4 linked regions of the Struthio camelus genome follow. The protein of the gene in region 4 purifies or fractionates together with the protein of the main gene of each other region. This does not show direct contact. Links are inferred from orthologs where the notes say so. Each region holds a gene or a part of one and is shown on either strand. Other genes may lie near its edges. The genes, in order: CCDC85C, PPP1R12A, YLPM1 and PPP1CB.

The links.
Region 1: the proteins of PPP1CB (region 4) and CCDC85C purify together in Homo sapiens (affinity purification with mass spectrometry; 3 studies listed by BioGRID and IntAct, with this or other methods). This does not show direct contact. The link is inferred for Struthio camelus from reciprocal best matches to the Homo sapiens genes PPP1CB and CCDC85C.
Region 2: the proteins of PPP1CB (region 4) and PPP1R12A purify together in Homo sapiens (affinity purification with mass spectrometry; 6 studies listed by BioGRID and IntAct, with this or other methods). This does not show direct contact. The link is inferred for Struthio camelus from reciprocal best matches to the Homo sapiens genes PPP1CB and PPP1R12A.
Region 3: the proteins of PPP1CB (region 4) and YLPM1 purify together in Homo sapiens (affinity purification with mass spectrometry; 3 studies listed by BioGRID and IntAct, with this or other methods). This does not show direct contact. The link is inferred for Struthio camelus from reciprocal best matches to the Homo sapiens genes PPP1CB and YLPM1.

Annotation. Positions count from the first base shown.
Region 1 is NC_090946.1:69,741,413-69,748,498, forward strand, and holds the start of CCDC85C (coiled-coil domain-containing protein 85C), read right to left. Parts: upstream 3,021-7,086; 5' UTR 2,859-3,020; exon of another isoform or gene 2,414-2,858; 5' UTR 2,392-2,413; coding exon 1,680-2,391; intron 1-1,679. UniProt on the Homo sapiens protein: May play a role in cell-cell adhesion and epithelium development through its interaction with proteins of the beta-catenin family. May play an important role in cortical development, especially in the maintenance of radial glia.
Region 2 is NC_090942.1:45,370,552-45,377,453, reverse strand, and holds the start of PPP1R12A (protein phosphatase 1 regulatory subunit 12A), read left to right. Parts: upstream 1-3,887; 5' UTR 3,888-4,078; coding exon 4,079-4,315; intron 4,316-6,902. UniProt on the Homo sapiens protein: Key regulator of protein phosphatase 1C (PPP1C). Mediates binding to myosin. As part of the PPP1C complex, involved in dephosphorylation of PLK1. Capable of inhibiting HIF1AN-dependent suppression of HIF1A activity.
Region 3 is NC_090946.1:57,712,986-57,720,211, forward strand, and holds the start of YLPM1 (YLP motif-containing protein 1), read left to right. Parts: upstream 1-4,206; 5' UTR 4,207-4,262; coding exon 4,263-5,327; intron 5,328-7,226. UniProt on the Homo sapiens protein: Plays a role in the reduction of telomerase activity during differentiation of embryonic stem cells by binding to the core promoter of TERT and controlling its down-regulation.
Region 4 is NC_090944.1:108,069,892-108,077,876, forward strand, and holds the start of PPP1CB (serine/threonine-protein phosphatase PP1-beta catalytic subunit), read left to right. Parts: upstream 1-4,974; 5' UTR 4,975-5,274; coding exon 5,275-5,326; intron 5,327-7,985. UniProt on the Homo sapiens protein: Protein phosphatase that associates with over 200 regulatory proteins to form highly specific holoenzymes which dephosphorylate hundreds of biological targets.

The sequences.
Region 1 (7,086 bases), on a different chromosome or scaffold from region 4:
GAGCAGAAGCTATCTGCAAATTAACAAACAGGTTATTTCCAATTAATAAAACACTAGCAGAGGGAGAGAAGGAAACACATTTTTAACGATGCCTGCTGTATCCTGCAACCTCTGCTGACTGGGGATCACTGTTTAAACCAGCAACGCTGTCCACTGGATTAGGTGGCTGCAATGTCTCCAGCCATGAGCGGGGAAATACAGCTGCGGCAGCCAAACCAAGCATGGCAAATTCATCCATGAACACACCACCGGGCTGATCAGTGCTGCGTGGCCTCAGATCTCCTGGGGCACTGAGGACTTGCCATAAATCACCAAGACTAGGACCAGCACTCCTTGGTCCCGCCAAGACTACTGAAAGCTCTGGGAACTGAAGAAAGCACTACTTGGCAGTCACATCCAGCTGCTCTCCTCCCCAGCGCCCCGCCTGCCCTCTCATCTTCTCTCCCTTTAGACATTCAGTGGCCTCTCCTGCGGTGCAAGCCAGAGCCGAAAATCAGTCAGAGTCAATCTCCCGGGCTCTCCATCCCTGCTGGCTGGCTGACAGGACTGAGGGGGCAGTTTCTGTGCTTGGAGGAGGGAGATGTGTATCCCTGACTAAAGACTACTTCCCTCTGGTTGGAAAAAGGGCTTAAGAAGGCTGAAATTCCAGGAGTCATATCTAAGGATTTAGACTGGTACTTGGTTTGATTCCTGCTAACCCGCTCTTCCAAACTACTCCTTTTAAATGTCAAATTTGAAATCTTGTTGGTTTCCAGATTTCCCCTCTTCACCTTTTTAAAAGAAAAAAAATCTCCATTTTAAAGACATTCTGGGATAATCCAATATTATTATTTTAATGCCTGATCAGTATTATGACACTAGGAGAAACTTTGCTGGACTATACAGTGCCAGAGAAGGCTTGGCATGATTTCACAATGGAGCTTGTTTCTAACTTTAACGACTAGGCTGAACAAAATTATGAATGTCCCTTCGAGAGCAATCTCTTTGCTACGAACAAAGCTCCTATTTCTGATGGGGAGTGCGGGGAAGCCAAGTTTCACCTAGCCAAAATTGTTCAGCATGCAACAGCCAGCCTGTCCTGAGAGCCCAGGGAGCTAACAGGTGATGCTTTATGTGGCAGACCCAGACTTTAATCAATTGCTTCCAAAATCTCATACAGGCTTTAATCAGTCTCATGAAACTAGCTGGTAAACAAGCCAAATATAAAACAAAATCTTTAACGGGGAGAGGAGAAGGAGAGGAAGAAATCAATGTCTATGTAACTCTGAAAATACAGGCTCAGCCTGCCATTAAAAAAAAAAAAAGGCAAAAAAACCCCCCCAGAAACCCTCCAGATAAAAAAGCCTTCATCCCTCAACCCCAGAGATCAGTAATGTAGCCAAGGAGACTGCCCTCAGTGCAGGCACTGCAGAGTCGCTTGCCTCTGCACCAGGTGAGCACCGCCACCGCCCCGCACATGGGTGCACCTACCCAGTCCCCCCAGCTGCCTTGACTGCTCTTCCAAAGCCCTTGCGGTCACCAAGGACTGCAGGGGATGGGAACGGCTTGGACACAGCCCCCCAGGCATCTCTCATCCCACTGACAAGGGGGGATGGAGAGATCAGCACACGGCAGAGGGCAAAGTTGGTTGCACCTGCTGCAAGGGGAGTGAGGAGGGGGGAGGTTGGGGAAACGCTCACCGTTGAGGCCGTTGGGTATGCTCCGGTGGTGAAGGGGCGCAGACAGGTCATCCATAGACCTTCGCATGGCCCCAGCCTTGCTGTCGCCAGGCTTGTGGTGGTGGAGGTGGTGATGATGGTGGTCGGGGCTTCCTGCACTGCCTGTGCTGGAGGTGCTGCTCCCGTCCCCCACGTCCCTGGTGCCCGACCCACCATTGAGGTTGGTGAGGCTGGCCTGGCTGTCAATGGAGCTCCGCGAACCAGCCCCACTCCGCTCCTCGTCCAGCATGAGCACCATCTCCTTCAGCTCCACGTTCTCCCTCAGCAGGGTCTCCTGCCTTGCCTCCAGGTCCTTCAGCTTCTGCTGGTACATGCCCACCTCCTTCCACATCACGCTGGCCGTGTGCCTCCCGAACCGCTGCCATTCCCTCGACAGCTTCTTGCCTTTCTGCCTGTCGTCGTCCAGGAAGCAGCAGAGCTCCCTCAGCTCCTGGTTATCGTCCTGCAACTTCTGGTTCACCTCCTTCAGCCCGCGGATCTCGTGCAGGTGGAGCTGCAGCCGCCGGTTCACATCCTTCATTAAGTTGCCGTGTTCCACCATTAAGTTCATCTTTTCATTCTCCACTTTCCTCAGTCTTTTCACTAGCTCTTCCTTGCTCCACCTCAGCATTTCCTCTTCTGAAATTTTGCTCAGGTCTTCTTTAGACCCTTCCAGGGAATTTTTTGCCATCATCTGTGCCTAGAGAGCGTTTGTTCTTAAACAGTAACAAATGGTCCGGGTTATTTGGATTATTTTGTTCGCCTGATCTCCTGGGACTAAAATTTACCGCAGCATCTTGGGGAAGAAATACTATAGTTCTCCACAGAGCGCTGGGCAAGGGAAAACAGCAACGCCACTCTGGGTGATCTGCTCTCCCGCAGACCCCATAATAAAAAAGCAATCCGGAGGTGGAGGGGGGGACCAAGAACGAACAAAAAACCACGCACACGCCCTCCCCCAAACGGGGCTCGGGGTGGCAGTGAATCAGGAGGGAAGCGCTGCAGCCCACGGAATGAAGCCTCCAACAGCAATCGGTCAACTTACCCCGGGCAAAACAACTACGCGGCGGCCGGCCCCCGCCCCCAATTCGCTCCTGCCACTTGTTCCGCCGCCCCCCCCAGCCCGCCGCTCCCCGGCAAATGCGCGCAGAGAAACCGCACCATCAATCCGCTCCGGCGGAGCCCACCTCGCCCGGCACGGCACGGCACGGCCCGGCCCGCACGGAGACGTGGGGCCGAGCCCGGTGCAGCGGCGGCGGCTGTCCGCGCCCGCGGCGTGCGGCGCTGCCGAGGAGCGGTGCGAGGAGCCGGAGCCCTCCCGGAATGGCTCAGCCCTCGGGAAGGAGGAGACGGGCGGCAGGGCCGGGCTGGTCCCACCTCCTGGCGGGCCGGGAGGCGCGGCGCGGCGCGGCGCGGCCCTGCCCGAGCGGCGAGCAGGCGAGCGGGCGCGGCGGGCGCTGCTGCCGGCGGCTCGGCTCGGCTCGGCTCGGCTCGGCTCGGCTCGGCTCGCGGCCCCGGCCCTCCCCCGCTGCCCCATTGGCTGCCGGGGGCGGGCCGGGCCGGGCGCTGGCCGGACCCCGGTGCGCCGCTCGCCGCCGCCGGCTCGGGTTGCCGGGGCCGCGGCCGCCGCAGCCAATGCGGGGCCGCCAGGCGCCTTCAAACGGCAGGTACAAAGGGAAGGGCCGCGCCCGCCTCCCGCCGCCGCGCTGCTCTCCGCCGCTGAGCCCCCCCCTTCTTCCACACCGTTTTTTGTTTTCTTTTCATCCACCTTTTTTTCCTTGCCCTGCTTCCTCCCACCCCCCCGCCGCCGCCCCCAGCCGTGTGCGCGGAGGGAGCACCAGTCGGGAGAAGGGTGGGGTTGAATGGCAGGAAAAGGAGCTCGCCGCCCGGCCCGGCCCGGCCCGGTTCGGTCCGACCCGGCCGCGCTGTGTAACGAGCAGCCCCGGAGCGTCCGGGGCAGGCGGCGGGGCCGGGCCGGGAGCGGGCGGCGTTGCCCGGGGGTGCGGGCACGGCCGCCGCCCCGCCGCGCCGGGCTTTGTTCCTCCAGCCGCGCCGCTGCCCCGGCCCCGCTGCGCCCCGGGCTGCGGCGCGGCACGCCGCGCTCCGCTCCCCGTCCCCCCCGGAGCCGCCTTTGTGCCCGCGTCCCCTCCTGCCTCGGCCGCAGCCTGCAGGCTGGCAGAACCGCCCCAGGCTGCCCGCTCTGCTCCCGGGAGAGCTGTGTTCCTTCCGACACCGTGCGGGGATGCAGGAGCAAACAGCCTCTGAGGCACCCGTGCTTCTTATTCCTCACTCAAACCTGCCCAGCTTTTCATGGTCTTTACCGAGGGGTCTGCTCAGGAGCAGGCATGGCAGGGTGGCTTCTGTGCACAGAGCCCGGGAAAGGGCCCAGAAAGTTCACTGCGTTAAAGGAGATTTCCCAGGCAATATGTGGGCAGATTTCCTATATCCTTGCATCACATCCCCTGACTTTTAGTCTAATGCACATTTGCTTGGACTTCACTCTCTCTCTCTCTAGGCTGCTTTTGACCGATACCACATTGTAAAAATGAAACATGCACCAGGACAGAGACGTGCTGCCAGCTATTTCCTACTGAGGATCCTTACAAAGCCCTAGGGAATCGCCATCTTTCTGTTCCCAAGGAACCTCAATAAATGATTTGACTCTAAGGTTAACTCAGTGCAATCTCAGATTTCTGACCACACTTAAAGCTACTCAAGACACCCTCTAGCAAAAAACAAACATCACATATGATGCCAGAGCATGGGATGCAGAACACATGGCCTAGGCATAGAAGGGACATCAGTCCCGAGAAGGGTGGGGAATTGCAACCTTTGCCTGGTGGTGTTATCTTCCTAAATCTAAGTCAGTAAAGCTGCAGTTTCCTGCATGCTTTTCTGTGCGAATCTGTAGTCATTGGTTTCTGAACTGAGAAATATCCGTGGCAATATAAGACAACTGCCAGTTCCCCACTAAAGTAAAACAGCAGGACTTCTCCATTTCTGGTGGAGTTTACCCTCTCCATGGACATTGTTGGCCCCCCTCCTCTCCCAAAGTGGCTTTTATCCCAGATCGTAAGGGTAACAGGAGCTTGGGATAGAGAGCAGCCACCAGTTCACGTCAGGTGGGATATGCAGGTGCTCTCTGGTAACATACATTACAGATATTGTTAAAATGGGAGGAAGACAATTCTCCCTAGCACGTACACAAATCAAGGTAATTCCCTAGAAAGGAGGGGGTAGTCATGCCATTGTACAGAAGAGTGGTGAGGCCTTGCCTGAAATGGAGGTCTGCTTCTACTTCCCTCTAACAGGTCTCGGATATAAATATACTTGATTTTTGCATAAAGTGGCCATGGTCACCAAGTGGCCACAATCGAATCGGTACAAAATTAGACCGTGCCAAGTCTCCTGCTTCATGCCCCGCTGAGCCAGGCTGTTGGAAGATAACACCCTTTGCAGTGCGGTGCACTGCTGCAGCTCAGGGTTGCATCATGTCTAGAAGGCATTCAAGTGTTTTCTAAGCCAAGTCTTTTATTTACAAGGCTTTAATCACATCCTTCCCTACAGGAAGCAGAAAGTGCTTCTCCCAGACCCTCCCATGCGGTGATTTGACTAGCAGATCCCCAGCCGGTGCCTAGCGGGGAAGGAGGAGCCGAGTAGGCAGCAGGGGCGGAGAACCCTCTGGCCACCGCACCACCAATTCAGGTGTAGCTGTGTAGCTACACCTTAGAGGTGCTTGGCCCAGGCAGTGTCTGCCTTGTGTTTGCTCGATCTTTTTTCCCAAGAAGAGGTGTTTTTTCTAGCTGAAACTTTATGAAGTTTGAGCACCATTGATACCTCTGCAAGGAAGGAACCCAGCAGATAGGGGGGCTCCAAAAAGGAAGTGATGAGATTATTAATATCCACAGAGGAAGTCACTGTGATGATTAAGACTTGCTTTCCAGACTGAATGGGTATGTCTATGCTCTTAAAGTTAAAGGGCACAGATCCAGCCTGCCACTATCCACGAGGGATTTGCGGTCACTGTTGTGCCCCGTGAGCTTTGGACCTGCTGCGTTTGGGCATTCAGGCTCGGATGTGCTCTGGAGGTGGCATTGAAACTGCACGAAAAGATCTGCTGTCTGCCCCGATGACATCTGATCCTGACAAATATGCGGTGAAACAGTCATCTGTCAGGAACGAACAGAGAGGGCCAGGGTTAACAGGTCTGAGTGAATGAGGCACGAATCAGGTGGCCATCATGCCTCACCTATTCACTCTGTGACCTTCCCTCCGAGGTGGCTATTGCATTGCAGTAGAGAAAAACCTCTTTAGCTTCGAAGTGTGAGGCAGCAGTGTTAGCGCAGATGTGTAAAGCTTGGTAGGATCAGAAAGTGTCTGTGGCCTGGATTATATATGTGTATAGTGCAATGTTACGCTCAAAAACAAATTATGTATTTCAAGCAGATATTTAATCAACACAAATAATACACAATATTGGAGTATTTTTGATGGGCTTCTGCTTTTTTATTTACCGTTAACAAGCCCTATTTCTCAGTGTTGTTTGGAAGGAATTATGATTCTCCTGTGCCAGTTTAAGATGAAGAGTAACAGAAGTTCATAACATGCTACAGATTTGATCTGTTACATTTGGTCATGGCCACTTCTGCAGGCAGTGAGTGCAAAGCACTTTTAATATGCATGTTATCTTAATCTTTTTATTCCCATGTAATACAGCGTCAATCATTGAATCAAATGGACACTTTCACCCTCTTTAATCAGGAGTGAAAGTTTAAAGCATGATAAGAATTTTAGGAAAAAAAAATACTGGACAAAATTCCTCTTGATGATAACGCCTGAACTCAGCAGGTGACACAGAATGCATTTGATCCTTGATATTGTATAGTGATATATAACATCATTTAAGTCTTACCAAAGCATTCCCTCTACAGGGCTGCGTTAGAATTACAGAAAGCGCTTCCACCATTTGGATCTGCGTTGTTGCTTAGCCACCTGAGAGGGGTGGCTCTTGCAAAACCCACTCGTTCTTGAGGAGAAGGAGAAACTTTAGTGGGAGTGTCACATGACTTTGCTTTTCCAAGGCAGCATAGGAAGGAGTGAGCCCAAGTGCTGTAGTTGCTAGGTCACCCTGTGTTGCCCTGCACATCCTGGAGCCTGAGAGGAGAGGATCTTCTGTTCCCAATTCCTCACCACTTAGTCCATGTCCCTGCTCAAAAAGTAACTCCTGGCCTGCTGATGTGATGTGCTGGCCATGCTGTGTTGGCTCAGCCATAGGACACAGTCCTGTGACAGGGGCATGACAGTAGATTGTCACTCCTTTCATCCACTACTTTGTGCTTCTCTATCAGTATATTTGCAAAGAAATTGCCTGTTTGTCCAGGCTGAAAAT
Region 2 (6,902 bases), on a different chromosome or scaffold from region 4:
GATTGTGATACTTTTATTAAAAAATGGAAAACCAGAAAGCATACTGATAACAATACCATTGTTTATTCATTTTATTGATCATTTGCAGCATGGCACTAAATTAAATGAAAATATATACAAGCATAGATGCTATCTCTGCAAATGTTTACCTGGTTATCTTTACAGAAAGGTGGTCCTACTGGATTCATGTGCTACTATTTGTAGGCAGAAAATTACATATGCAATCATGTTTAATGCTATACATATACATACAAACAAAGGATTTTACAAAACATCTAGTACGTTGGATAGTCTGCTAGAGGTATAAAGCCTGGTAAAACTAGGCCTACTTCGTGTGCCCTTAAGTAGGACTCGGTTAACGTGCCGAAAAATTGCAAGTGACTCTTGTTAGCATACTCTTATTATTGCAAGTACACGTGCATATTTATGCAGTTATCCAACTGAATTTTATGATATTGTCTTGTAATCAAACCAAACAGTAATCACTGTCTTATGACAAATTTTTTACTCACTTTCAATATGATCTTCAAAGTGAGCCTTTAATATACAGGGTTTAGTCCTGCCCTCTGCACAGATGAATTTCACCACCACCCCCACCCCCACGCTTAGGCAGATAATTGGAAAAGAACATCGGGTTTCTATAGCAAATATTATTGGTAACTGTATATGTTTATCTCAATCAGTACTGAACCAGAAGCTGCAGAGGGCCTTATTTCCTCTCAGCTACTCTATTTTTACCGTGAAATCTAATGACATAAAACTGATGTGATAGAGTACAGAACATAGGCCAGTATGCCTTTGCTCCTGAAGTTAGAAACCTTTATGTCAGATAGGAGATAGCAAAAATAAGGAAATTAAAAACAAGTGTTAAGAATTATTATTATTACCCTTATTATTAATTTTTTCTTGCTGTAAAGTGTGGCTTAATTTTGTTGAATAAAGAGAACGTGAAAAACTCCAGAGATGAGCCAATTTACATGAAAGACATCTCTACTTTTTTGCTTAAGGAAGACCATATGCTTTCCTAGATCACATTCAAAGACTGTAAGTAGTTTACTAGAGAGCATACAGCAGTCAGGGAAAGGCATACATGTATATGTACACACACATGTACACACACACACACAGAGACACATATATATATATATTTATATTTATATATATATGGAATAATTGAATTCCAACTGGCTTAATTAAATTGCTGCCTAAATGAATGGTGTTGCTTGTGGGGTTGGTAGAAAGCCCCAGAGGTAACCCAACTCCCAAATGAGGTCCAACCGGAAAAAACGAAAAAGTCAAAGAAAAATAAAGTCTAGAATGTAGAACATACAAATAGCAGTAGCGTAAGGAAAGAGGATTTCCATATCCTTTCTGAAAAGATGGAGATTAATCAGTGGAAAATATTCTGAAGATAGGAATAGAAAGGAGGTATTAGACCTGGTCTTTAAAAACAGACCATCTGATACTTCAGAACAGAAAGGGATATGCATTTTATGCTAGAGAACATCTACGTTTCCCTATGAAGCCAAGGAGAGCCAGCTGAAAGGAGTTAAAGGAGAATCCATGACCAGAAAGAAAAAACTGAGCTAGAAGAATGAAGTCAAGGAGAGAGGACTGGAGCCTTGACAGAAACCTAAAAGATACTCCGCAACAGTGAAATTCCTGAGCGAGAGCGTTCTCAATGAGTGCCTATCAACTGGCTTCGAATTACTTGGCTACCAGTAAAGTACTTCATTTAAATATTTCTTTCTGAAATCACTGTATTACATTCTTCAGCTATTTTATTTCTTTGAAGAGTTAAATTTTCAGACAGACTATTGGGAGATGGAAAGACAGGAGGAGAGTGCTGGGGAGGGTATACTTAAAATAACTGAGACATCTGGCAGAAGAGGACTTAGCTCTTATCCTGCATTATGTTTTTCTGAGCTACAGTTTTCTGTTCCTTAGGAAATGGCACTGGATTGAGCGGCTGTGCCCAGGAAGTTTGCCCAAGAGGCCAAGACCACAGAAAGTGGCCCAAGTAGGCACAGATCCTCTCCTCAGAAGCGTACTGTCAGTAGACGCAGGCAAATAGCAGGCTGGTGACTGCCCAAATTGGGCCAATGCTACCAGAGCGGTGCTGAAGCACAACTCGATTCCTCGTGTTAGTAATAAACCCTGCGAATCCAGGGGCCTACACTGTATCTCTGAACATGCACGCATGTTGTCAAAGGGAATGTGTAAATAATGTGCTGAGTAATGGTTCATCTATCTATTTAGACTTCAGATCTTTCTTAAGCAAATCTTTCATCATGTCTACATGTTGTCTTTCAAATGTTCACAAGCACTTTGCGCCTGCAAATTTTCAGCGAATCGGATCTCACACATTGCTGTATGAGAAAATCTCACGGATATTATGCAAGAACCTCTGCATGAAATTCTTTTCCGAAAGGCATTAATCACACCAAATTGCTAGAGGTACATAAAGTAGCCTCACTACTACCACTTCTTGTGAAACACCACTGATATTCTAATAAATGAAAATAAGAAGCCAGAGTAGGCTATGAGACTGTCTACAGTAGGAAGAAAAAAGGAGACCTTGTAATTAAGAAACAACAAACCATGCAAAACTTGAAGTGTATGAGGTTTGGTGAACCTCTTAAACTATATTTTGCTTCCTATAATTAGTTGAAATTAAAACTTTTTTTCCAGTAAGTTTAAAACCACGTTTTATCCCCACAGATGATTCAATTTAAGACAAAATGTATATTTTTTTTAACCTAAAGAAAACATGCTATGCATGGAAAAAAATTAACTACCCATAACTTGGTTCCTGCAAGTTATAATTCTGAATAAATACTTCTGAGGCTTCTATCTTCAAAAGCTATATGCATTGTAACCACTTATTTTCCCCCAGCAGGAAGGATAGATATGCTGTCCCAAGGTTTTCAGAAAATGGAAGTGAAGCAGAAATTTGGTTTAGCTTAAACCAACGCTGCAACGGAGTTCTCATAAGCAGAAACCTCAGGGCAAAATTTGAGACTGGGCTTTCGTCTGTCAAGGTGCATCCTAACGGGGACAACTTTTAACATCCCAAATGGGGGCTCCTCAGCCCCTTGTCCTGTTTTTTTTCCTTCTTTCCTCACCGTGACTCCATTTCTTCTGCTTGCTAACACAGGCAGTAATGTGAGTATTGTTGCGTGTCACGGAGAGGGAAGAGTTTGCAAGGAAAGGTAGTATCTTTAATTAAACTGACACGGGCCAAAACACACACGCTTTCAGCCACAGGAACACGCAGAAGCTGCACGCTCGAGCCTTTTCGTTTCTTGGCCTTTATTTAAGGCTTGCATCAGATAATCTAATAAAATACATTATTGCCTGTCCTTATAAACTTTGCCCGGACGAAACATGACCTCGGTTACCATTCAGCGATGGCGCTTTTATTTGAATGCTCCTCATCGCTTGCATTTTTTCTGACCCGGTAATCAACAGACACCCAACAGGGGCGTCGCGGCAGGCGAGCGGGGCCGGGGCTGCGGCCGCCCCCGGCGCCAGCCCCGGGAAGGGGCGGCCGTTGGCGCGGCGGGGGGGGGGGGGCGAAGAGGGGGGAAGCTGTGTGCCACCGGGGGGCTCTGTCCGTCCCGCCCCGTCTCCCCGCCAGCCCCGGGGATTTCCTGCCCTCTCCGGCGGGGGCAAGGGAAGCCAGTGAGCCCCGAGGCTGAACTCTTGAACCCGCGGCCGCCATGAGGCGCAGCGGGGCAGCCCCGCCTCAGCCGCAACACAGACCGCTGCATCCCCCCCCCCCCAACCTCCCCCGGCCCGTGACGCCACACGCCCCGCCCCCGCGCCACTCTGTCCCCCCCAGCCCCGCCCCTCCAGCTCCTCGTCCTTCCCCGCCCTGAGGAAATCTCGCGGGATTATGCTAACGAGCCCGCCGCCGCCGCGCCTCCCCTCCCGCCCTGCGCCCTCCGCCTGGGTGAGCGAGCGAGCGAGCGAGCGAGCGAGGGTGAGCGCGGGCCGCGGTGCTCTGTGGGATACTGGCGGTATATAGTCTATCCTCGGTGCGGCGTTCGCGAAGGGGGCCAGGCGGGAGCGGGGTATGAAGATGGCGGACGCCAAGCAGAAGCGGAACGAGCAGTTGAAGCGCTGGATCGGCTCCGAGACCGACCTGGAACCGCCTGTGGTCAAGCGCAAAAAGACCAAGGTGAAGTTCGACGACGGCGCCGTCTTCCTGGCCGCCTGCTCCAGCGGGGACACCGAGGAGGTGCTGCGGCTGCTGGAGCGCGGCGCCGACATCAACTACGCCAATGTGGACGGGCTCACGGCGCTCCACCAGGTCGGTGCGGGGCCGCGGCCGTTGCCCGGCGGTGGGGGTGGGCGAGGTGGGAGGGGGCCCGGCCGCGCTGGCCGCAGCGTGAGGCGGGCGAGGCGAGGCCGCCCCGCGCTGCGCCCCTCCGGGAAGAGGAAGGGGGCGGCGGCGGCGGCTGCTCTCGGCTGCGCTGGGGGGTGGCGAGGCGGGGAGGGGCCGGAGCGCGGGGCGGGGGGCAGCGGGGTCCGGGGCGGCTGCGGCCGGCGGGAGGGGCCGTGCTGTGCCGTATCGTGCCGCGGGCCCGCTGCCCCCCAGCGCCGGCCGCGGGTCGGGAGAGGGGCCGAGCGGCCGAGGCCGGGCGTCGGAAGGGGGCGGTTGGGCCTCTCCCTTGGCGGGGAGGAGGCGCCGCCGCCGCCGACCCTCTTTCGCTTTCCCCGCTTCCCCCGTTGGCAGCGCCTCCCTCGGGAGGGGCGATGGGGGCGCGGGCCCGGCCCCCGTGGTGTCGCCGAGTGGGGGGGGACAGGTGGCCCGCGGCGGGGTGGGTGGTGTCCGGCAGGTGAGGGGGGCGGGCTCGCGGCGGGGGTCGCTTCGCCGCGCTGCCTCTGCCCCGGGGTTTCGGGAGCAGTTTCCTGCTTCCTCCGTTCCTGCGATTCCGCTGCCGTGTAGCTGATGGAACCCGCTCTTCTGTGCGCGAAAAGGCGGATCGCTTATTTCCCCCTGGTTTCTAAGGGGAACCAGTGTTTTGTTCCTAATATAGAAACGCGTATCAATAACAGGCTGGTTTTCTTTCTTTAGTGATGGCTTCTGCCGCAGTGTGAAAGCTGAACTTTCAGGGAAGCAGGGCTTTTACAGTTTTCTTTCGTGTACTGGAGAGGTGTAAAAACGAATCTATATTGCTTTGTTCCTCTGTGTGTGTTGGTGGGTTTTTTGTTTTGTTTTAGTGTGGTTTTTTTTTTGAGGGAGTACCGAGGGATAACTTTCGTTTGGGGCAGGGGGGAATGGAAAGGAAACTGGCTGTGAAGTTTCCTCAAAATGGATGCTTTGTGCATGTTGAACTTCATAGCAGTCTGATTGGAATCTCAAAACGTTAGCCAAATAAGGAAAGGCTGTGGCAATCCGGAGATAATGCGGGTTTGCCTGAACAGTTTTTGTTTCTTTAGCAGGCCAAAAGCTTCCCCAGAATATTAAATTTACTGGATATCAAAAAAAGCAAAAATAATTTTTGACAGGCCAACTTTTTGTTCTTAGGTTTAGAAGCTGTTCAGTAGTTTAGAAAAAAAACCTTGATGTCTGCAAGTTCTACATTGATCAGCTAGTAATGTTACCAACATGGTTAAGTGAAGTAATTAGGATGTTCTCACCATACTGTGGTTTTCTTGAACAAAAATGAGGTGCTGAATTTAATGTATTATATCTGTCTCATGTAGATTTTCAAGGATACAAAGTTCTACAGATATGTAAGTTGTTCCATAGTAGTGAAGATGCACTAGATAAAGCAAAAAGTAGTAAATCTTGCATCTTGTGTTCAGAATTGGGTTCTATTTCCTGTATATAAACTGTCACTTGCTGCCCTGTAAAAGATACTAGTTTACTGCTTGTTGTAAGTTGAACTGGAAGAATGAATGTATGTTGTGATTAAAAGTCTGTCAGAATGTTACTTGTTACAGCAAAGCTACCTAACTCAGACTAGTCTGTCACTTCATAGCAAGATTTTATATCTTTATACTTCTCTAAGCAATGATTGCTTCATGCTTCTAGGGAGCTCTGTATTAGAAGTCATACCTTAACTGGTTAGATCTCTGGATCTACAAGTTACTGAACTCTGTGATTGGTAGGAAAGGGTGACGTTAGGTTTAACTGTATTGTCAGAATAAAAGACTGATGATGATGTCTATAGTCATCAGTACTAGGTGGCACTTTCAAAACGTCTTTGGTGCGGTATACAACAAAGCTTTCAAGATAGTTGTGAAGTGACTCTATCTCTCCCCCCCCCCCTTTTTTTTTTTTTAAACCTGTGGTCAGTTTGCAGATTGGATGAGCAAAGTCCAAGGAACAGAGGAGATCTACATCACTGCAGAAACTCTAACTCTCTCTCGCTCTCTGATGCTGAAGAGACTTTTATGATCTTATGTAAAAAGAAAAAAAATCTATTGTGAAATGATAATTATTTTGAGGCAGCCCAATAAATGAGTGAATGTTGCCCGCTGCTCAAAAAAAACACAAAAGAATCCCCTGCCCGTAATCAGCACTGTATAGTTCTGCTTTACTATTATCAATGTATATTATATGGCATATTAGAATAGAATAATAGGTGCAAGTATTACATAATGAATTCATGTTATAGGCTGCATCTAATTAAGTTTGACTAGAGCATGGAACAAAGCTATAGTCTTTCGCCGACGAAACCTCTTCAAAAACACATCACTCTTGCTGATACTGTTTTGACTGACTAGTGTCAATAGTGTCAAAACCCCCGTTGTTGAGTTTGACTGTCACAGTTGCCTGTACAGTGCTGCTTGTGTGTGCCTCCTCCTTTTTTTTTCCCCCTTTGTCTGTCAAATCCCTTGTAGGTGTTATTGTTTTGCAGGAATATATTTGTCAGCAAGAATGAGGT
Region 3 (7,226 bases), on a different chromosome or scaffold from region 4:
ATGTGGGCTGGGAGCAGAATACTTAGGGGGGAATCAGAGCAATGGCTGAGAATAAAACTGTCTCGCAGAAACCCTGAGCATTTGCAGTAACATGGGAAGAAAGTCGTCAGAGGAGCGACAGAAAAGGAATGATGAAACTGCATGGAGAAACGTAGAAAAAATGTTTCAAAGCTATGTCATATCTGTTCTCCCCAAGGCATGTTCTGCGTTCTCATATCTTCTCTGTAGCTCGTTAATTTGTAGGCCGTCTGCCGATCTCTGCCTCTCTGGGGGGAGGACAATTGTTTTAAGACTGGGAGGCAAGAGAGAAAATGAGGGTCATGGGGCCAAGATGCCATAGAGTGCTTCCTGGCCAAAGTGCAGGAGTTGAGCTGTGATAAATGGGGGACTGAGAATTGATATTCTTGGTATAGTTAAGAAAATTTCCAAACTTTAATAGAGCTTTTATCCTGTGATGCGTTACACTGGTCCAAACTGTAGAGAATAGCTGGACTCAAACCTCTGCATGCCAGGCAGCATACAGTGAAGATAATGCCTCTCCTCCATTAATCATTTCCTGTCTTTGGGCAATGCTCCAACATGCCAATAATTGCAAACACCCTGCTTCTACAGATGTTACAGGAAATTTTGAGAACGCATCAGACTTGCCCCTCACACTATGTCGTTGTTTCCTGCAGGCTCACCTCTGCAGTAAACTCATCCCTGAAATACAGCATACTGACACTTTCAAAATGCATGAGCCCCTTTCAAGCTATCACAGTTGGAAGTTTTATCTTTGAGATTTGACTATTGGTGTGTAATTGCACACTTCAAAAAAAAAAAACCCAAATTTTCTCCTGTCTATCCAAGTCACATTTCTTTAAGCTAAATTTAAGTATTATCATGAACACTTAAAGACTATGCATGGTCAAACAAGGACTCAGATCTAGGATTAGATCTGTGTAGCTGAATTTTCAGAATAATTCTAAATTTAAGAGACTTCTTCAGGGCAGAGCTAACTAGAGTTACCTCTGTGCAAGCTTCATTTGAGTTAACCTAACTTGAAGGAGACTTGAGAAGAAAGAAATGGCTTCCCGTGGTAATATTTGATGGAAGTCTTTCTGGCTCTGGAAAAGAGGATACGGGCAAAGCAAAGTGATGACTTTTGGGAATGTTTGACTACTGGTAGACATTCACACAAAAAAACATCCTTATTGGATGGACTTCACCCAAATATACGTATGGAGCATGAACTGCATATAGGAATCAAGGCAAATATGCTTATTTACAAGAAGCTTTAATTTAAGGCGTAAAGGACGTACCCAAGTCTGTCCTGCTTGTTTTAGTAACAGAAGGAGGAGGCTAGAATAGGCATAAGGCAATTGATAAGAAATATAACCTGGTTGGAGGATAAGCAGCAGGGAGAAAGTGTTAACAGTGATTGAAACCACCAGGAAGGCCATGTATTTAATGAAAAGTTTACTCCTAAAATGAGTAAAATCAGCCAGACAACACTGAGAAGTGTGGGTATTAACAAAAAGAACCGGGAAGGACCACCCGGGTCGTCAGGGCCGTGCCCTGCAGTCTTAGGGAACCCATGTACCAAACGCTTGGTTCAGAGGAAAGTATTTACTCTGTGCACACCACAGCATTCCAACCTCAGATTACAATATTTCAAGGAGGAAAGATCATGATCTGAATAATGGCAAGGAGTTTGGTAAATGAGAATGTCCGGATGTTCCTACAACTGCAGAGCTCTGTTAGTCCCAATCAGAAGAGAAATTCCTTCCTGACCCAAGTCTGGCAGTTGGTTTAAACCTGCGGACAAAAATAGCCAAAGCAAGCCCGATACTCAAAGTAAGTTAGGCAGTGGAAGGGACAAAAGCATTTCTATTCCTTGGGGGGGGGAAGGGACCCAGAAATACAAAATTGCTGCACCATAATTATAGTGTATTAAATGTTATCAGCAAATGAAGAAATTCAATGAAGAAATGAAGTGCTAATCCCAGCTATGACACTAGATAATCCAGGGATAGCTGAATTGTAGCGGAACAGCAATTAGAAGCAGGAAGCGTCCAAGAGTATGAGCTATTTTAAAAAATGAACTAAAAATAGCAGGTTGACATACATTAATGATGTCATAGACTGTAAAAGAACAAGAAGGCATAACGTGGATAAAACAGGATGGCTTCGGGGCAAGGTAATGTTGAGTAAAGGAATAAATGTATCTTGGTCCGGGAGGAGTCAACACCCCTATCTCCATCAACAGATTTGGGTATTGATGTTAACCTCTGTCAAGTTACTGGAACCTAAACCTAATTTTGGTCTCCTAGAGAGAGTTTGGACAACACTTGCAAAATGATTGAGTACAAATATTTCTTCATAAGAGAAGTAACAGATTTCTTCACTGTACTGATCAACCACAGCAAAGAGCAAGAATATTGCGAGAGACCTGACTTTAGGAAATAATCTTGAATGAAATGATCACAAAAAAACTCATTCTGAGTCAGTCAATCAGCATAAATCAAAGGATGTTTGTAACGGTCCTCTTTTGGAAAAAGGACTTTCAAAAGCTTAACCAGTGAGCAAACTGGCCCAAAGGGCTTGGGGACGTAAATGTCAAGGGTAGGATTTTGGGAGGGATCTGGAAGTGCAAACGCTATCTGGAATTCATATTCACTGTAAGAGAAATCTTACTGGGAAGCGCTCTAGACAGAAAAGGATACTAAATAATTTAAAAAATAGTTCTGGGTGTATTGAATTAATGAAGGTGGTTTTCCTAAAGACTTGTGTTTTATAAATTGCGTGTCGGCTCTTCTTGAAGCTTTTCTTATGGGTTCATGTTTGTATCGCGTGTCACCGCTTTGGATTCCCTGGGATTTAACAAGAAATGAATACAAAGTCTAGCTTTTCTGCCGGAGAGGACAGAGCTTTTTTCTGTACCTGGCCATCTATCGTTGCCTTTGCCTCCAACACCTGTCTCTTCCCACTGGCCACAGATCCTTGATTTTCCAGCAGTGAACTGGAGATTGAACATCAGAACCGTTGCACAAATTCTCTTCATTTTGGGAAGGATGGCAAGCGGCAAGACAGCGCAATGCAGCTGCAATTCTGACCAAAACAACAGCCACTAAGCTTCACTGTCCAGCTGACAGAATTCAAATTTAATAAGCCCTGGCAAAATTTTCTCTACAACACAAGTTCAGCACTTCACACAACTCTTTGCTAACTGGCTACAGAGCATACCGATGTGTTTGACTCATACTTAAGCGTGGGGAGGGAGAAACACAGGAAAAATCTCTCCTGCTCCTCAGTCTAATTGCTTCTGTAAGGGATGAGGCAATTTTACACATCCTTTTCACCATCACTCGCTCCATTTTTGCCACCCAGATTTATCACCTTGCTCTTCACTGAAAATGAAGTGAAAATACTTGTGTCGTTTTAGGTGCTGGATTATCTATAGCCGCACCAATCCCCCCGCGGGTGGCCCAGGACCATCATTTACAAGGCTGAAGGACCCTTCTGAGGGTTTGAGTCGCTTTCCGAGGGCCTCACCCAGCTCGGTTTTTAGCAGTCGCCATCGCCCCCCTCCATCCGCTAAAGCAATTAGCACTGGCATCGCAGGGCGGTTCATAATCACGGTTTTCCCCGTAACGGGGTGGAGCCAGGGCGGCGGGCGGCAGCCGCCGACGGAGCGGGGCGGGCACGGAAACATGGCCCTCGCCGGGCTGACCGAGTCCCCGGGCCGCGGGGCCAAGCGGCGGCGGCGGCGGCCCCCAGCGCCGGTCGCCCCTCGGCGGCCGCAGCGGGGCCGCGCCAGCCCCGAGCACCGGCGCGAGCCGGGCTGGCGGTAGGACCCAACGGGCGCCCGCCTGCTCCTACCCGGCTCGAACAAAATGGAGCCCCAAAGCCTCCCTTGGAGCGACGCTCTAGCGCCTCTCTGTTTGTGGTTGTTGTCTTCCTCTCTTTTGTCTAAGCCGATTGGGGTGAGGGGGGAAGTGCTTAAGCGGCGCTCTAGACTCGCCTCCTCCCCCCTCTATGTGCCCTACTGCCGTGCTCGCGCCCGCCCGCAGTAGCGGCGGCTGCCCGTTAGGGGGCGCCGCGCAGGCTCCGAGTCTCCCGAGCAGCGCCGGCTGGCGCTCTAGCACCGCGCGCACGCCTCTACTGCCCTGGAGGGCGGGCACGCCTCCCCGCGCAGGCGCCGTGGCCCGCACGCGCCGCCGCCGCCGCGGCCTGTGGAAGCGCCGCGCACCGCTCCGCTCCGGCCGGCCGCTGCCCCCGCCATGTACCCGGCCTGGGGCTTGTACGGGGCGGCGGGGCACTACCCGCCGCCGCCCACCTCCATCCCGCCTCCGCCGCTGCCCATCCCGCCTCCCAGCGTGCCGCCTCCCGCCGTCCCGCCGATGCCGCTGCCCAGCTACCCGCCGCCGGGCCCCGCGCCCCCCGCCGCCGGGACCGCCGCCGCCACCGGGCCGCCGCCGGCCGGCACCTCGGGCTTCCTCAGCCTGCAGGAGCAGCACCTGGCGCAGCTCCAGCAGCTCCAGCAGATGCACCAGAAGCAGCTGCAGTCCGTGCTGCTGGGGCCGCCGCCGCCGCCGGGGCCGCCGCCACCGGGGCTGCCGCCGCCGCCGCTGCCCGGCTCCTTCGCCGAGTGGCAGCAGCAGCAGCCGCCGCCGCCCGTGCCGCCGCCGGTGCGCAGCTACCAGAAGCAGTTCGCCCACCGCGAGCCGCCGCCGCCGGCCCGCAAGCCGCCCGCCGCCCGGGAGCGCGACGGCCAGGAGGCGCCGCCGGGCCACGGCGAGTGGGGCGAGCCCGTGCCCTCGTCGCCGGTGCCCATGGACATGGAGCTGTCGTCGCCGCCGCAGTCGCCGCAGCCCGCCGCCCCGGCCTACCTGCCCCCCGCGCAGGCCTACCTGCCGCCGCCGCAGGCCGAGCCCTCCTACCTGCCGCCCTCCCAGCCGCCGCCGGCCCAGTCGCCGCCGCCGCTGCAGCAGCCCTACGTGCCGCGGGCGCAGGCCTCCCAGCCGCCCCCCAACTTCTCCGAGCCGCCCCCCTCCTACCTGGAGCCGCCGCCGGCCACCGCCGCCCAGCCCTACCTGCCGCCGGCCGCCGCCTACGCCGCGGCCCCGCAGCCCTACCTGCTGCCCTCGCAGGGCTCGCCCTCCCAGCCGCCGCCCGCCCTGCCGCAGCCGAAGCCGCCTCAGCCCCACTTCGCTGCGCCGCAGGGCTCCCTGCCCCTGCCGGCTGCCGGCCCGCAGGAGACGGCGCCGAGCGCCGCCAAGGAGGCGGGGGCCGGCGCCGAGCCGCACGGCGCCCCGCAGCCGGACCCTGCCACCATGACCGCGCAGGTGAGAGGCGGGCGGCGGCGGCGGTGTCCGCCCGGGGCCGGGGCCGGGGCCGGGGCCGGGGGCGGCGCAGCGCGGGGCGGCGGCCGCGGGCTGCGAGCGAGGCCGGAACGCGCGCGTCCCGTTCGCCTGATAGTTGCATGGTTCGGCCGGAGCGCTCAGAAGTCCGGGAACGGCACGGGTCAGGCCAGGCTCCCTAAATGCCTTTTCGGCCTGTGGTGTCTTGAGGGGTGTAACGGATGGTCAGGTCTCAGGCGCGAGTGACTTAGGCGGAGAACCAGTCTAAGTCCTGGTTGCGTTTCATTTTCTTGCTGACTTTGATAGTCGCTGGAGAATTGTTTTCCCCAAGCCTTGCACGTAGGTGGACTGCACTGAAGTCTTGCTGCATCTTTCTAAGGATGCAACAGTTGCATCTTTTGCATCTTTTTTAAAGATGCAGCAGTTCATTCACCTATTGCATGCTGCAGCATCAGCGCCTCTTGTTTACAGTGACTCCTTCACTTACTTTTTCTCTTGTGATCGTATTTCAGTTGATTATCGACCTAGTGACTGGTATAGTATTGCAAACGCCGATTTTACCAGACACAGATAAAACTGCAGAAGTGTTTCTACTGTAGTGTCTGGCTGCTTTTTACTTAAACTTTTTGGGAGTACGTTTTGAGCTACCTGTGTTTGAGTGTTATCTTCTTGTGTAAACTTTTAAGGGGCTTTGAGGGAAATAGTCTGAAATGCTTTTGAGGTGAAAACTACGTTTTTTATTGTTAATGCTGTGTACTTTTGTGGGTACACTAGGGCCAAAAGGTCTGCAAATATTCACATGCTTAACTTCCTAAATGTGAGTAGTTCTGCTGAACTTGATGTTACCGTTCATATTCATTAAGTTAGGGATAATCCAGTTGCTTTAGATAAAGCCTGCACAGAAGCATGCATGTTGAGGTCCTAAGCTGTACACACAGCTGATTTGGATGCCTTGAGGCTTTTGCATGATTTTGAAGTTGGCTTGTAGAGATCCGGTTGCAAGAACAAAGGTGAAGTGCATGTTTTGAAAAGTTAACAGACTTTGTAAGTTTAAAATACACATATTTTTGGCATCTTGATCCTAGGATTCCGATTTGAATCTAAGTTTGTAAAAACCCCATAGCATCATTTTGAAATCACAGACATTTTAAAGTGCTTAGTCTCTGGAACACCTTTTAAATTATATCCATACTATTGTGCAAATACATATGCAAATATTATCTTTTTTTTGAGTTTACACCTTTGAGCTGTTTTTGAGGGTACCATTTGATCTTTTACAGCGAGCGCAATGGAACTCATTCGGTTTTTTTGATGACAAAACTAAAAGCTTGAGAAATCTGAAGTAGAAAGTGATGTTAATTCAGTGTTGAGGCTGCTTGCTGAATTCTTAAATTGTTAAACTCAAGAATAAACAGTAAACTGTGATTCTACTCCTTTACAGATATTCATCATGAACTAGCCTGAAATTTCATGAATGTTTAGAACTTTTTTCATAGTATATATTTGTTCCTCAGCCATTCTCTTCTCCCCAGAATAATCGCAATTAATGCAATATTGTCCTGCGCGCACAGAGGAAACAGAATAGTAGCTGAAAAGCATCTCCTAAGTTTACATTTTCTGGTTTATGAATGTCTATGCATACAACTTAAGTTGTTTGTTGACTCTCATGCCGATTTAGTGTTAGTTCAAAAGGCCTGTGGTACTTTGGCGATCTATTTCTTGTGAAAGATTGATAGGATTTTGTCCGTCTTTGGCTGTAATATGAAACATGGCTTTGAGCAGCTGATCCTTAACACAACAGGAAGAGCAAAACCAAAGCTTAGTGATGCATTCTTACCAATGTTTTTAAAAGCTAAGCAGGGAAATACTGTAACTTCTGTCATT
Region 4 (7,985 bases):
ATCATATGCTAATAAAAATAATTAAAAAAAAATCTTCACACTTTTAAATAGTTCTGACGCTGACAGATGATGTAATCTGTGATATGTACCACGGTATACACCTTACCTTGTCCTGGTTTCTATGGGGTTCCTGGGAAACTCTCTACCATGTCTTCAAGGTGGTGCGTTTCTACAACCTGTTTGAGAAGTACTGGGACAGGGCAGGGGTAGCTGCTCTTTTCAGCATGAGACTTTCTTAAATGATATTCACTGGGTTGAATTTTCATTCTATTTTTTTCAACTTTTTCCTTGCTGATCCTTGACAGCAACAGTCTCTTTTCTTGTTTTAATTCAAGAGAAAATAATGTAACGTCTAGACCTACCCCGCCTTTGGAGTATGCTTTAAAGGCAAACAGGACATATGGCATTCACAGGAATCAAGGAGTAGTGCTAACTTACAAAAAATTCTTCTTCTCCAAAAAATATCATGACTGAAGCTATGATGATTATAGTAGACAAATTTGTATATCAACTGAAGATCTCGTAACGTTTTTCAAATAATTCAGTTATGGCTCTTGACTCCTTGAAGAGGTTCGCATGTGTTATTGAAGAGGTTCGCATGTGTTATTATTGGCATTTATAAATGTGGGAATTAAAGCTGAGAGCTCACTAAAGTTGCCGAGGTAATCATGAGCAAATGTATGACAAGAATCTGGAGCATCTGCATCTGAGTTTCCTATTAGCTGTTTGAAGTGGAAAGAGTAAGTGTAAAATGTAAGTAGAATATTTGCAGTGTATTACTTTAATAATAGCCTCTCTTTTGTTCTATTAATATTTAATTATTTATACAAACTGTAACAGCTACATCAAGAGAGATGGATCAGCACTATAGCTGAATGATTACGGCATGCATCTGATGCATAACAGATCCAAACTCAGGTCCTCGCTCCAACAGGTATTGAGCTATTTATACCAAGTGTGGCAGTTCAAAAAGGGATAACGGGAGACCTGCCTAGGATGCAACAGTTCAGAGAAGAGTTTCTCACATCCTAGGTAACTGCCTGCAAATTCAAACCACTGGTTATTTTGGGTTTGTTTTCCTTCCTCTCTAATTTCTCAGGAAACTTGATAAAATCTCTGTTTCAGCTCAGTCTGGAGCAGTAATATTTTTTTAAAAAGCTTTCTGAATATATAAAGAAACCTATTATCTACCCAGCTTTAGTGCAAATACTGAGCAAGAAAAAAGAGACACAGAATGCTAAAGAGCAGAATCTGATTGGTTTTCTGCACTTGTCTCTGAATCTAAACTTTTGGAAGAAAATAGTGATAATTCATCTGCAGTCTTTGCATATTCTGAGATTACCTTGATGCAGTTTCTTACCATTTCTGTCCAAAGAAACGTCCGTGAACATTGTGTACATAAATTGTCCTAAGGAAGTACACAGCTTTTTTGCTGATTCTGATTACTAAATCAAGTGGGAAACTGAGCTAGGTGCTCAAAATCCGCTTGCAGTGGCTTGGTTACTGGACAAACACAGAGACTGAGAAGGAAGCACTGCTCCAGCTACCACTGCCCAGTGAGAACATGCTCCTAATTACATGCCGGAAAACTAACCACAGGCCATATTGCTTCTCCCTGCTTCCTCCTCCCATCTGCGTAAAAGCTGTAGTCAGCCCTAAGATACACTCAGCAAAAGTGATACAACAGTTTAGAAGCAAGCCATAGTGCTTGAATAACGCTGTAAAGTGCTGCTGTGTGTTTTCTGTAAGATAATTCATGACAGAGCTAGGAGGGCAATGTAGCTGGGGCCATGATTTTTGAAAAACGCAGTTACAATGGCACAGCAAGTAACTTAAAAGAGCATGTAGTCGGTGCCATTAGTAATGGGACATACCGGCTGAAGCAATGTAAGGTTACTAGGAAAGAGCAGATAACATCAGAGATACTGAAACCGTGTTCTGTAGTTGAGGATGCAACAGCCTTGATAGCAGAGCAAGTGAGAACTCGTTCTGAGAGCCCCATTTTTGAGAATGACACTAACATACAATTTTTTACCACCTTTGGAAATCTCTGTCCTTCAAGTCTTGAAAATGCTACAGAACGCCACTGCAAATTAAAGCACACCTCAAGACAGCAGGTGGGTAAGGAGAGGAGAGTTGACACACAGGGTATTTAGGGTAAATGGCACTGAGACTGAGCGGGGGAAAGTTAGAAGCAAAGCCATGTTTGTGGACACAAGAGGAAATTTCAAAATAACTGAAAGGAAGTTTAGAAAGATGAGCATTATTTAGGAGAGTTTGCCAAAGGCATCAGCAACGTTCAAGCTTCTCCTGCTACTTAAATCACCACTTAGATATCTTTGGTCTGTATCTGTGTATGCTATTATGTCAAAAATTACTTAACATTTCTGCTTGATCAAAGAAAATGCATTCAGTCCACATTAAATATTTCTTTCTGAATCACAGGAGAAAACAGGCCTCATTCTCTGATCTTTTAATTCTATTTGTTGTAATGGAATTATGTCATTATAGAACGCAAGGTCTGTCGAGTTTTATTCGCTAAGAGACTCTCATACTCCTTTCCCTGCTCAAGCTCCGAAGCACGTTGGGGCAGACTACACAGAGTTACGCAGCACAGTGTGGTGGCCACCCTCCCTTTTCATGATCCAAATACAGCAGGGGAAGAACTCTGTGATCCAGCAAAGCTCCTATTCCATGAGTTACTGGAGAAGGAAAGAAGCCTTGGCGGGGTATGAGAGCTGAGATCCAGCAGTGGCAGGAACTGAACGGAGTCCTGAAGTTTCATTCCTCCAGTATCTTGAGTAGCGTGAGCAATCTCTCCTCATCCTATGACCCAGCATAATGCCACGCCTCATTCACTCCAGAATATGGAGAAAACTGAAAAGCAGTGAAATAGAGTAGAAAACCAAACTTAATGTATTTACCAGAGTCCCTCAAGAACGCAAGGGCATGATGTGATAGGGTAAAATTAACTAAGAGACTGGTACAGAATCCAGAAAGGAAAAAATAAGCTATTTTTTTCAACCCTTGTGCAGTGTGTTCTGTTCCACAGCATCTCTGCTTATTAAATTATTTTGATATTATGATATGCCACCGAGTTGTTTCTGGAACATGCTGACATGCTTAGTAAAAACAGTTATTATGGGATTATGTTTTGCTCAACATATCTCGAAGTTTAATATCTTCTGGAGTTTTTGGAGACAAAGAAATTGTATCTTTATGCCATAGTGAAAGATCATTGCATATTCTCATTCTGTTGTCAATGCAGAATGTTCTATGACTATATAATATTATTATACCTGAATTTGTGTTGGCTTAAAATAACTTTCAGGGCAGTTTTGGTTATGTGAAATGAAATTGGGACAATTCTTAAAAACTCAAGAGGGACTGCCTATCTATTAAATTTGGCAGCAATAAAATAGCTAATATCAAGAATACCCTTGTAAAGCTGAATAATTACTTTTCTTAGTTTGACAAAAAAATGAAGGAAAGATTTAAAGCATTATTTAGATTTTCACTACTGGGAAAAATTGAAAAATAAAAAAGAATATAGTTTCAGCAGATGAGCTGGAATTACATTTTCATAGATGCTACCTACAAATGGGGATGCAACATCTTTCTTTTTTTTTTTTCCAGAGGTTCTTCCTCTTCCTTCAATGTATCCAGCAAAACTTTATTATTGCCTATGTATTTCAAAAGAGCATTCTACTACCGGACTGTCTGGCCACCTAGCATCATCTGACGCCTAATCATTGTCTCGCCTTGTCCTAATTACTTACATTTTGCTCATATACATCTTGTCCTAATCATGAAGTAAAAACTAGGTTTTGAAATTATTTTAGCTGAGAGGATTTTGCTGGCTTGTATAGGTCAATGGAAAAATTCGAATTTGAGCTCAGATAGATGTTTCTATATCAACATCTATATTTAGGCAGATAAATAAGTGGCCTGATTTTTCTAGAACATCTGCAATGTCTTTGGCAAAAGGGATGGCTGGCTATATTTTGTCAGCATGCATACATTTCAATCTGCTGTTCCAGTTCACAAGCAGCTTTCATCAACTGTTTTTTAGATTCTGTCCATCTAGGCAAGCATCTATTGACAAGAGCATGCACTCTAACATGCTCTTGAGCACTCCTCTTAAAAAAAAAAAAAAAGGTTTCAGAAATCATTCAGAAATGCTCTTTCAGAAAAAAAAAAAAGTACTTTTAGCAGTTCCAGCCACAATGAAATATAAACCGTATTAGTTAGGAGATTCTTCCTGACAACTGTGTTAAAACGTGGCTACAAAGAGCACAACTTATCATTCCAGTTCTGATGGACTTCTTTAAAAATAAACTGTGAGCTTTCACAGGCGCAGTTTCAGCAGCAGAAGGGGTGATACACAGGTTACACGCAGCCCACTAGGACTCATTTTCTTGGCTTTTTTCTTTTCCTCCCTCCCTGTAATTGATGCCTGGAAACATAACCTCCGCATAAAGTAAAGCACATTCTCCTGCAGTAACATGTCACGGGGAGGTGGGGCATCACAAGGAGCACCAAATATCCCTACAGCCGTTAGAACATCTTCGGAGCGGATACCCAGTTGGGAGGCAGCCGGCGAGGCTGGCTAACCCCCACAGGGCGGCCTGCTGCCGGCACCCTGACAGGAAAGGCCACCCCGCCCTGCTCTTTGCACGGGACGGACGGCGGCCGACCGAGAGCCAGGGGGAGCAGGTCGGCGAGGCCTGCCTTGGGCTGCTGGGCAGCCCAGACAGCGGTGGAGGAGGACCGCGTCTGCCCGTGCGCACCCTCGGGCACTGCTTCACCGCAGCCGGCCGGCAACCGACCCTCAACGGCCACGGCGCGCGCCCGCCGGTTACTAGGAAACCCACGGGCAGGCGGGGAGAGGGGGGGGAGGGACTGTGACGCTACGCGCGTGCGCACTGGCCGACCCCCCCCCCGCGCGCCCGTTCTGCGCCTGCGCGGTGGCTGGCGCGCGGGGCGGCGGGAGGGGTGAGGAGGCGCATGCGCCCTGGCGGCCTCAGAGGCGGGGAGGAGGCGCGGGGAGGAGGGGTAGGCGCTTCCCCCCCCATTTAGCGCTGAGGGAGCGGGAGCGGCGCTTTCGGGTGCCAGCGCGGGAGAAGCCGGGCGGCCCCAGGGGACCGTCGGAGGAGGAGGAGGGGGGGGGGAAGCCACTTGTCTTCGCCGCCGCCCGCGCGCCCCGCTCCTCCTCTGTGAAGCGCCCTCCGCTCCTCCCTCTCCCCGCCTGGGACCGAGCCTGGTGGCCACAAAATGGCGGACGGGGAGCTGAACGTGGACAGCCTCATCACCCGCCTGCTGGAAGGTGAGCGGGGCGCCCGCCGGGCCTGCGCCCTCCGCGGGGCGCGGGTGGCGGCGCCACCAGGGGGAGCCGCTGCCGCCGCTTGCCCGCGGGGCGGGGGGAGCGGGCGGGGCGGCCCCGCGGCGGGGGCAGCGGCAGCGCCTCCCCCGCACCCGGCCCCGGGGGGCGGCGGAGAGCGGGCTCGGCGCGGCCGGGCCAGGCTCGGGGCCCTCGGAGGGGAGGGGAGGAAGAGGGTTTTAAGCATCCTCGGCGCGCTGGGGTGAGGGGGGAGCCCTCCCCGCTCTAGGTGAAGTGGCGGCTTTTCTTTTCTTTTCTTTCTTTCTTGTTTTCTTTTATTTTTATTTTTTAAAAAGCTTTGCAAGCGCTCTTCCCACGCGGCAGCCGCCCCGGTGAGGGGGGAGCTAGGGCAGCCTCGTTGGCGGCCTTTTCCTTTCCTTCCTCAGCGAGGATACTCCTAGTCCTCCGTGCGTAAAATTATATGCCTAAGCAAGATTAGGTGTGGAGTTGCGTGTGTGTGGGTGTCGGGGGAAGCAGAGGGATTGAGTGTTACTCTGCCTGCCTGCCTATGGGCCAGTCTCCAGAGGTTGCTCTCGGGTGCCTGGATAGCTCTGAGTCTAGTCTCTTACAAGACTAGTAGCTACGAGGGGTTTTGTGTGTGTGTTAAACAGTCATGCTTTCCTTTAAAATAAGGAGAAAACTAGCTGCCTTCCAGTTTATGGAGAAGCTGAGGAATTATTCCTAACGTTTTTCCTCTGTGTAAATGATGTCTCGAGTATCTGGTCTCAGACCTCTCCTCACGTTAGTCTTCCATTCCGTGTTCGACAAATACCTAGTATGGTGGAGACGATTATCCACTTATTTGGTTGCTGTGTTTGAATATTCGGATCACTTAGCAGAAGGCTTTCAGAAAGTAGTTTAAGAAGCATATGCAGTTCTGGGAGAGGAAAAAGTCTGAATGTTTTGTTTAACTGAGTTACTGCAGAGTTTTTGTGGCTTTTTGGTAATCGTATGTTTTTTATAAGTGAAACTGCTAATTGACTTAAACGATTAACAATCAGTATTTTAAAAATACATAAGGCTCTGGCCAGTTGTGCTCATGTTTGTACTTTAAGAAAGATATGCAGTGTAGTATAATGCAAAGAACACCTGCAGGTATCATCAGTTAGCAAAGTGTGTCTCTGTTCACTGATACTGATAAACCTCACTTTTCTGGACCCTGAAACCCAGCTTAGTAATGAAGGTAGTTTTTCAAGACAAACCACATAGTAACCTAGGAAATACTGCGTTCCTAATACTTTTTTTCCCAGGCTTTCAAAATGTGTACGTATATCTGTATGTCCTTATAAAAAGAAGGAGATTTGAAAAATCTTTGAAGGGTACTGTTCCCTCTCTTTTTCTCTTTGCTCATCTGTGTAGCTATTTAAATATAGACTGCTTGAAGAATAGGTAGTTCTCCAGTGTTTCGGGATGCAACTTGTATTGGGCTACTGTCTGTTATCTTAAATGCTACACTGCTTGCTTTATTTATTTTTAATGCAAGAGTTTGGAAATACTTATTCCTGGCTTTTCATACATGCTATAAATGCTTTATGTTGCTGTATCTCTAACATTTTTGAGCTATGACAGAGTACCTAATCTGCACTTTTTATTCTGTACTACTTTAATCTTTCAGAAGTTGCACATACATAGCTTTAAGCAAGCTTTCTTTATAATTCTGTGTCTCTGTTTCTCAGTCTGTTTCTCTCTCTCTGAGCAGAGATTAGGAAGATTTTTAAGGAAAGCAGGACATGTGTCTTCTCTGCTTGTCACCTACTAATAGGAGTGCCTCTTACAACATCTCATCGCCTCAGAAAGGGAATAGATTCTTCTAGGTTGTATTTGAGAAACTATTAAAAGAATACATACACTATATATGAATTTGCTTTGCTTGCATTTGACATCTTTTATTTCCTGTGCTGCTGGTGTATTATAGCTTAAGCTGTGGTCCAAATGTTAGTCTTCACAGGGAAGTTTTTTGTACAATTGGATGGCTAGCATTCTGGAGTTCATGGTGTTGCTTAGCTGGCTTATTGTGGTAAAGTGAGTATAAGCTCCTGTCAGTGTATGCACCCCTCCCCCTCCTCCCCCCCCCCCCCAACAACCTGGAAAAATTTCTATCAACCCTTGCTCTGGAGCAATTAATTTAAAATAAGTTTTTGACTGCTTTCCCCCTCACTTCAGCTTTGGCTTAAATAGTGAGGAATTGCAGCTTTTGAGCTGTATACAGGTGCACGTTAATATATTCAAAATACATTTTCATGAAATGTTGGGATGCAATATATTTAGTCCTTCTTTTAATGTTAAATGGATGACTTTAAACAACAGTCTACAATTGTCTCTCAGTTGCTGCTGCTTGTAAACTTCAAAGGGTAGCAAACGCATATCAAAAGCCGCAGTGACAGGAAGCTTCCTTAATGCCCTTGAGTTGCTGGTTGGGGACACCTGTTTCTAGGCTGTGATACTAGCTGTCATGAGTCCTTGCTCTTACTTAATTAGGTTACTCTAACTGTTTTTTACCCTTATTGCTCAAGACCACTTGCATTTCAGGTTATATGACGCATTAACTTGCCTTTTGATCAGAATTACATACTTGGATCATCTTACCGTCCATGGGTGCATGTAC